Linked DNA regions of Coturnix japonica. The protein of the gene in region 1 interacts with the protein of each later gene in a biochemical or structural test. Links are inferred from orthologs where the notes say so. Each region holds a gene or a part of one and is shown on either strand. Other genes may lie near its edges.

Region 1 (3,811 bases):
GCTGCTGCTCTCCCCTACGCTTTTGGCATTCGTCGCTCTCCCTTCCCCATCCCCTCAGCTGTCTATCATTTCCAATAAACTGGTCGGATCAACATTTGAATGCTCTTCTTCTTAATCTCACGCTGGGCATAACATATCAAAAGAACCTTTGCCTCACTCCTAAATTGGAGCGAGACAACAGCTTATTAACACACCTCGGGTATTGTAATCAGAATAAGGTCTGAAAGGTGCAAAGGATTAGTTTTGTTATACCTTGTCTACAATTAGACCTGAGGCAGAAAACACCCAACTTGTTAGCACTGATCAGTGCTACATTTGAGGAGTGTCAGACTACATAATGAAAGCAGCACGACCTTTGATATCTTTCTACCTCATTTCCTTCAGTGCAACACAGGTTAATAAGGCCTTTGAACAAGGTCTTACTCAAAGCAGATATTCCACTGCTACAAAGGCTAACCCAAGTGACTGATGACTTCATGCTTATGGAACTTCTGCACTGGAGAAGAAAAATGTATTCTAAGAACATCCAGTGGCTTTTATTTCAGATACTTCACATCAGCTTTCACAGAGACTCTGAAATATAGATTGAATCCATTCCCTGAGGTGCTGGCCAGGTACTACAGCACTGCTCTCTGTCTTTCCATGAAAGCAGTTTCAACCCATGCTGCTTATGTTTGTTGGGAAAGGAAAAGTTCAGGACAATTCCTTGATGCTTGTAAAATGGAAACTCACCTTCAACGATCTTCAACGATGAACCAACACATACAGCATGGGAGGGAAAAGAAAAATAAAGTTAAACTGTAGCATGCACTGAAGTTTTATGTACAAGCACCCGAATAGCTATGAAACCAACAACAAGGCAAAGTAAGAATTTTAGGATACCACAATGTCATCTTGATTAACAAAATGTTAAAATAGTTTCAGAGAAGTGACTCGTTTATTAAGCGATTACTTTGGGTTTTGCTGCTAAGGGAAGGAAATGGAGGCAGCTTAGGAGCCATCTTAATCTCCTCTCTGCTCCCCAGTTTCAGTACCCCAACTTGATTGAGGCTGAAAAACAGAAAACCAACCCGCTGTTACATTCAGCGGAACCAAAGCCAGGGCAACGCAAACCATGCTATAAGGATTGCAGCATTCCCCTTGTACTGGCTCAGCAACAAACTGTTATTCCCGCTGCTTGTTTTTGGCTCTACAAGGCAGCAGTGGCATCCCCAAACCAGCGTTATTAACTACACTGCAGACTGGATCAAATACTGCTCAAGCTTTAATAACAACAGTAACAAAAAAGTGAATTTTCAAAGACTTGCTATAAGTTTAACTAGCTCCTAGTTGCTCAGGCAACTTGTAGATGCCTGAACACTTCCTATTTGTCATGCTGAAGACTTACTGCTACTTCTTTGATTTTCTGTTTAAATCATCAGCCTTTTTCTTTGAAATATTCAACACACCTTCAGCTTTAAATGGCATTTACTTACATGACCCATGATGGGTAATATAACCCCAAGACTGGGAGCAACAAGCTACAACAGACTGTGCTCATCACCTGCAGGTGGTAGTCACAGATGCAGATACATTAATAGGTCTATCTGGGATTGGATGTGAGCTGTGAAATGCTAAATAAGAGCCACACTTTAACCCTTTAACATAGGCTACCTACTGAGATGCCAGAAGACAAACTAAGAAGCCTTTCTTCTGAAAATCTAAGGCTCTGGTAAGCTATGACCCGAGGCCCAGTGTTGTACAGAGTAAATTTACTTCTGCAGGGAGTGTATCCATTTGCTTGTATTGCACAGATCTCTTAATGTAGGTCAATACACATTTCAAAGGAATGCATGTACTGAAAAGCCAACTTTCAGCTCATCCTTAGACTCTATCAGCAGCAAGAACACAGAACTCATTTGACTACAGCATTTAGATAAGCATGTCACTACTTACCACAACAGAATCATTGTGAGTTAGATCAACTACTACAGGATCAGAAGATTCACACGTGAGATCTACTACTTCTTCACCAGCTTAAAAACATAATGTTAGAACACAAATCAGAGCTCACAGGAGTAAAGTTACCCATCAGTGTATAACAGTGTATAACAGGCTGAGGTATCATACAACACTGCCCATCCCTCTTCTCTTTGGTAACATACTCAACTTTTCATTCAAGCTTTGCTGTCAGCGGTCTATATATACAGTATTAACAGCTTCTGCAAGTTGCAGTGCACAACTAACTGACCTCATGTGCTTTCTGATATATCAGTATCTTGTGAGAGGTGCACAGCAACACATTCATCTAATATAGGAGAACGTTTATCACGCTTTAAAACATGAATCAAACAGGATATTTCTTTTCCAGTCCTGCGCTGTAAGTGTTCCAGTATCACATCTCATCTAACTTTCAAAAGCCAAATACATAGCAAAACCACAAGAAGCCATTTATTTACTTGCAAGTTTCCAAATTTAGTTTGCTGTTATCTGAAGTGGCAGCTGCAGTAACCCCGAGTGCATCGGACCAGATAACTGGATGTGCGAGCAACACACATGCACCTTTCTTACCTAATTCACCTATTAGCAATTGCACCCCAGTAACAATCTTAAACAGCTGTCGGTAGGCTTGCTGCTGTTCACTGCTTCCATACTATGTCCTTTGTTAAATAAGTAGCTTTCCACTCCCCTTCAAAGGACCTTGAAACTGGCCAAAACCACATTATGTGGATTCCCAGCACTCCAGGAGAAGCCTGTTTTCTTATATAGTTCAAAAGAAAGCTTACCACTTTCTTCCAGTTCTATTGGCTCTCCTTCTGAAGCCATCTCTGTGGTAGAAGCTATCAGTCTGCTTCGTTTCTGAGCTTGCCTAGAGTTAGCTGATCCTCCACGGCGCTTTCTTGGAGTCTAAGAGAGAAGAAAGCCTTAGTACGTTCTTTAGGAGTAATACTAATGCAGCCCCCACCTTTCCAACATCAAGGTAAACAAAACACACCGCTAGAAGCCTGTAGCATAAATATAACAGCGGTAAATGACTCCTATCTGAACTGATCTCATCAAGGAGCAGACTCCATGCCAGGTCTCCCACCAGCTGAATCACAAAAGAAAAAGCCACACTACATTCTGAAGGTCTACATGGGAAGATGAGCTCACAATGACACCAGGTATTAACTTCCAGCCAATCAATGCCATCAGTTTTCACTCATGCTCTGAGTTATTTCTGAAACGCTGCTATAGCACCTACAGATGAGAAACTTCTGAGTATCACAGAACATGAAGTTAAATGGCAAATTAGTGCTGCAGCGTATTTACAGTAAACTGTTACCAAGATTTATATAAATATGATAAATATATTTTAAGAATCACTTTTGCATTGATCAGTAAAATACTTACTGTACTCATGGTGTTTCTTGATACAGAGTTACAGAAAAAATAAGAGGTATAAATACCATAAAATTAAACGCAAGGAAGCTACAATTCTCAATTCCTTATATTTCTTTAGGCAGTACACTGTTAAAAAGTCCAGATTTCTCAGTATCTTAGAATGACGTTCTTCCAAACCTATAAGAAAAGAAGAGAGAAGATTACCTATCTGTAATTCTTGTTCTCTCACACACACCCGAACTTAAGGATGTCGGTTCTGAGCCACGAGCTTCTGACCAGAGCTGGAATGGAAGTCCCACAAGTTTAGTATCAGAGCTACAGACCCCTCAAGCAGGGCCTGAAGCCTCACTAAGGCTCACTTGTTTCTTAGTTAAACTTACTCTGGCGTTTAGCAGCAAATCAGAAAGATATAAGGAGTCCCAATTAAGCTTTATCTGAAAAAACAACC
Region 2 (4,542 bases), on another chromosome or scaffold:
AGCATAAAACTTCAATACGCACACAATGACTCATACTCACAAGTTTTATGAGCTACATCTCATCAACTGAGCTATAGTAGCTACTCAGGTTGAGTAGTTACTTCACTGACCATGGCAAAAAGCAGCAAGCACTGGAACAGGCTGCCCAGGGAGGTAGTGGAGTCTCCTTCTCTGGAGATATTCAAGACCCGCCTGGACACCTACCTGTGTGATGTGGTGTAGGAAACCTGCTTTGGCAGGGGGGTTGGACTCGATGATCTCTAGAGGTCCCTTCCAACCCCTACAATGCTGTGATTCTGACACAGTTTCAAAGCTTTCTTCCTAGGATGCCTGCATTTCTTTGATCTGATCACAGAAATTCTGGTGAATACCTAAAACCAAAGTCTAATTCACCATGAGCATTATATCGTTATATAAAATTATGGCAGCTTAAAACAAGACTGAAATGTCTTCTAAGTACCAACGGACCGTGCTTATTAGAAATACCAATGACGATGCCATAACAGTATGCTCACAGACTCGCATATTAAATGTTAGCACCGATTAATTCAATAACACCGAATGGAAAAATCACTTAGAATTACACGCAGCAGCTTCCTTTGTTTGTTAAATGTTCTTCGCTGGAAGAATTCCAATTTCAAGGCCAGGTTGGACGGGGCCCTGGGCAACCTGATCTAGTAAATGTGTATGTTTGGTGGCCCTGCCAGGCAGGGGGGTTGGAACTACATGATCCTTGAGGTCCCTTCCAACCCGGGTCATTGTGTGATTCTGTAATTCAGAGCCTTCATATCTTGTTCACCAGTATAAGGGTCCAAATTGGGCAGCTTGCATCTTTACAGCACACAGGTCTAGGTTTCCCACTTACTCAGAACAACAGTTCCTAAGGAATTTCTTTTCCATTTATCTAGATTTTTAATATAGCGTAAGCAAATGCCTAAAATTCAAGGAAAAAAGTCATTATTTCAGAACGTTATACAAATAGCAGGATATAAACAAACATAAGGAGCTCCGTAAATTTGTCTCATCAAGAGACGAGAGGACACAATTTAAAGCATGATCTTACAGCAACTACATCTCAAACGGAAGCAATTACAACATCAGCCCTACGATAGCCATGTTTACAGGAAGGGAACAACCTCCACACAACCCGCTATGGAGCCAATATTTGTCATTCCTGCCTCCTAAACAGCCTCACTTTTTATAATCACTATTTCTCTTTTTAAAAGGGATCAAAAGGAAACAAGGGTGATGCAAGCTACAGAAGGTCATTTTATAGGCCAAATACAACAGCACAGCCATACTGAGGCCCATAGACCGTCTCCCTCCTTCATGTTTCAGAACTGTAACTTCCCTATATTGTTTTTCTCCCTTTATAACTCCCTTTCTCGCTTTATCACAGAATTATCAAGGTTGGAAAAGACCTAGAAGATCATCTAGTCCAACCATAACCAATACTTCCCGGCTAAATCATATTCATCAACACAACATCCAGACACTCCTTGAACACCCCCATGGTCAAAGACTCCACCACCTCCCTGGGCAGTGCATTCCAATGCCTGACTACCCTTTCTGAGGAGTAATACTTCCTAATGTCCAGCCCGAATCTTATAAAAGGTTCTGCTTCATGAATGACTGCCTCAATTCTGCACTTGAGGTCGCGAAGTTTAACCATAAAAAAAAAAGCATGACAAAAACGCATCTGCCAGATTAAGCTGATAAATCAAAGACGCATCAGACTATCTGTCTAAAGTACTGCTAAATCAAGAACGTTCTGTACAGTATGTTCAAGTGCGTTCGAGTTCTTGATCCCGTTTCATCTCAATAACTCAGAGAGACACACAGTTATTTTTATGGCGCTCAACATCACCGGTAGAATTTTTACCCCGTAAGGTTCACCGTTCTGACATTTTAACTCTCACTAATACTAAAGCCAGGCTATCAGGACAATTAATCTGATTATTTCTACACTCCAGGGTTGTCCAATTAGCAGCGACAAAAAAAAAAAAAATTACCAGAATGAAAACAAGAAAAGAAACAGCAACTGGAGATAGAAAACAGAAGCATTCAACCACCTACATTTAAATGCAATGTGAAAAGAAATAAGGTAAAGCAGAGCAGTTACAGGTGAGGTAAGAATAGACAGAGGCTACAGCCACCAAACCCAGTGATCCTTTGTCCTGGGCACGTCACAGTAAATCCCCATCCACTCCAAACAGCACACAGTGAAAGCGAGCCATTCTTGCAGAGCAATTTCTGCAACTACTATTTAAGACTCACTCCTTCGGAGCAGGTATGAATAAATAATTCAGCTGGAAAGACCTGTCAAGCAGCAGGGTGTTTCACAGCACCGTACCTCCAGCGGCCCCATCCATCCACCCCAGCCAAACCAGCTGCCCGCAGGACTGAAGCTGCATCACGATCTCGTTTTACACAGAGAGGGGACAACGGGGCCACGCGGGTCCGAGCGCTGTCGCAGCCCCCCCGTCGGCGACAATCACAGCCCCACACAGACGGATCCCCTGCCCACGTCCTTATCACCGACCTAACGGGGTCTCGAAGGGCTGCCCCTGCGTCCCCCCCACCCCCAGCAAACCCCTCGGCTTCCCCAAACCCCACCAAGGGACAGAGACGATACCGGGGCCTCCCCTCCACCCCCCTCACCTCACCTCACCTCCGAGGACTTTCCGGGTCGGGGCCATCCCCGCTGGGCCTCCCTTCCCGGAGCAGCTCGCTCCCCACAGGGCCGCTGTCTTCCCGCCTCCCCTCTCCACAGCCGGGCCCCGGCCTCACACCTCAGCTCGCCCCTCCGCCGGACCCCTCTCGCTCCCTCCATACGGAACCGCCGGACTCCCCTCAACCACCCGCACCGCTCCCTCAGAGAACTCCCGCCGCTCGGGCGACGTCTCGCTCCGGCTCCCGGCCCCGCAGCCGGCCCCGCCGCAGGCTGCTCACCTGCATGGACGCCATGATAGATCCTCCCCCTCCCGCCGCGCCGCCAGCCCGCACCCTCACACACGCAGCACCGCGCGCCCGTCTCCCTCCCCGCCGCGCATGCGCCGGGAAGAGGCGGGGCGGGCGGGCGCCGGAGCTCTGTGGCAAGGAGGGCGGGCGGGTTTTGTCCTTGGTGTCGCTGCCCTCGATGTGTGGGAGGGGTGAAGAGCCGGCGCGGGCCGATGGCCGCCTCCGGTTGCAGCCGGCGGAGGGGCTGCCCGGCTGGGTGCCGTGAGGCGGCCGCGCGTGCGGAGGCCGTTGGGAAACGCCGGCTGAGCAGGGGAGCGGGGACCCCCCCCTGAGGGGGGGTTGGCTGCTCACAGCCGGCCTTGCTGGATGTAACACGGACATTATGAGCCCCCTCACGCCTGTACTTGATGGTGATCACAGAATCACAGAATGAGCCGGGTTGGAAGGGACCTCAAGGATCATGTAGTTCCAACCCCCCTGCCTGGCAGGGCCACCAAACATACACCTTTACTAGATCAGGTTGCCCAGGGCCCCGTCCAACCTGGTCTTGAACACCTCCAAGGACGGGGCATCCACAACCTCCTTGGGCAGCCTGTTCCAGGGCCTAACCACTCTCCTAGTGAAGAACTTCCCCCTAACATCCAACCTAAATCTTCCCTCTTTTAACTTAAAACCATTTCCCCGTGTCCTGCTATTGTCAGCCCTTTCAAAGAGTTTACTCCCCTCCTGGGTGTAAGTTCCCTTCAGGTATTGAAAGGCTGCAAAGACCCCTCTTGGATCACCCCTCCACCACAGGCAGCACCTGCTTTTCCTTTTGGAGGTGGCCTAATGGGTGCGGCTCAGGGGAGACCTTATTGCTCTCTATAATTTCCTGAAGGGAGGTTGTAGTGAGCTGGGGGTTGGCCTCTTCTCTCGTGTAATCAATGACAGAATAGAGGGAATGGTTTTAAGCTGCGCCAGGGGAGATTGAGGCTGGACATTAGGAAGTATTACTGCTCAGAAAGGGTAGTCAGGCATTGGAATGCACTGCCCAGGGAGGTGGTGGAGTCACTGACCATGGGAGTGTTCAAGAAACGCTTGGATGTGGTGCTGAGGAATATGATTTAGCCAGGAAGTATTGGTAATGGTTGGACTGGATGATCTGCCAGGTCTTTTCCAACCTTGATAATTCTGTGATTCTGTAAATGGCTGAACAATAGTTCTGTTTATATTTACCTTTGCAATCTGCCACCTTAAGGTTAGGACTAAAGATGGGTCTGAGACATCTGAGAGCCTGCTTACTTTCTGTATTCACATTATTTGATGTGATGCAAGGTATTGCTTCCACCTTTAAGTGTTACCTTCCAGTATATTTTTATGTATTTTCAACTTTGAGAACGGCTATGTGGAGAAAAACAAAAGCTCAGCACAATGTGGCATCAGATTCCAAACTGTTTCAGTGTCAGCAGTGTTACTGTTGGTAAAGCAAGCGTACAAACTCCAGAGCTCTGAATAAAAGGACCAACAGAAGGCAGGGAGTATCATTGCTCCATGAGCTAGATGCAGAAAGGAACGAGCCTATAGGCTTCAGAGGAATTTGCT

Evidence for each region.
Region 2: the proteins of RNF4 (region 1) and UBE2W form a complex in vitro, tested with the Homo sapiens proteins (2 studies listed by BioGRID). The link is inferred for Coturnix japonica from reciprocal best matches to the Homo sapiens genes RNF4 and UBE2W.

Annotation. Positions count from the first base shown.
Region 1 is NC_029519.1:74,944,703-74,948,513, forward strand, and holds part of RNF4 (E3 ubiquitin-protein ligase RNF4), read right to left. Parts: intron 3,645-3,811; exon of another isoform or gene 3,568-3,644; intron 3,541-3,567; 5' UTR 3,432-3,540; coding exon of another isoform or gene 3,429-3,431; 5' UTR 3,382-3,428; coding exon 3,373-3,381; intron 2,887-3,372; coding exon 2,766-2,886; intron 2,016-2,765; coding exon 1,936-2,015; intron 743-1,935; coding exon 733-742; intron 1-732. UniProt on the Homo sapiens protein: E3 ubiquitin-protein ligase which binds polysumoylated chains covalently attached to proteins and mediates 'Lys-6'-, 'Lys-11'-, 'Lys-48'- and 'Lys-63'-linked polyubiquitination of those substrates and their subsequent targeting to the proteasome for degradation.
Region 2 is NC_029517.1:106,949,271-106,953,812, forward strand, and holds the start of UBE2W (ubiquitin-conjugating enzyme E2 W), read right to left. Parts: upstream 3,071-4,542; 5' UTR 2,968-3,070; coding exon 2,953-2,967; intron 1-2,952. UniProt on the Homo sapiens protein: Accepts ubiquitin from the E1 complex and catalyzes its covalent attachment to other proteins.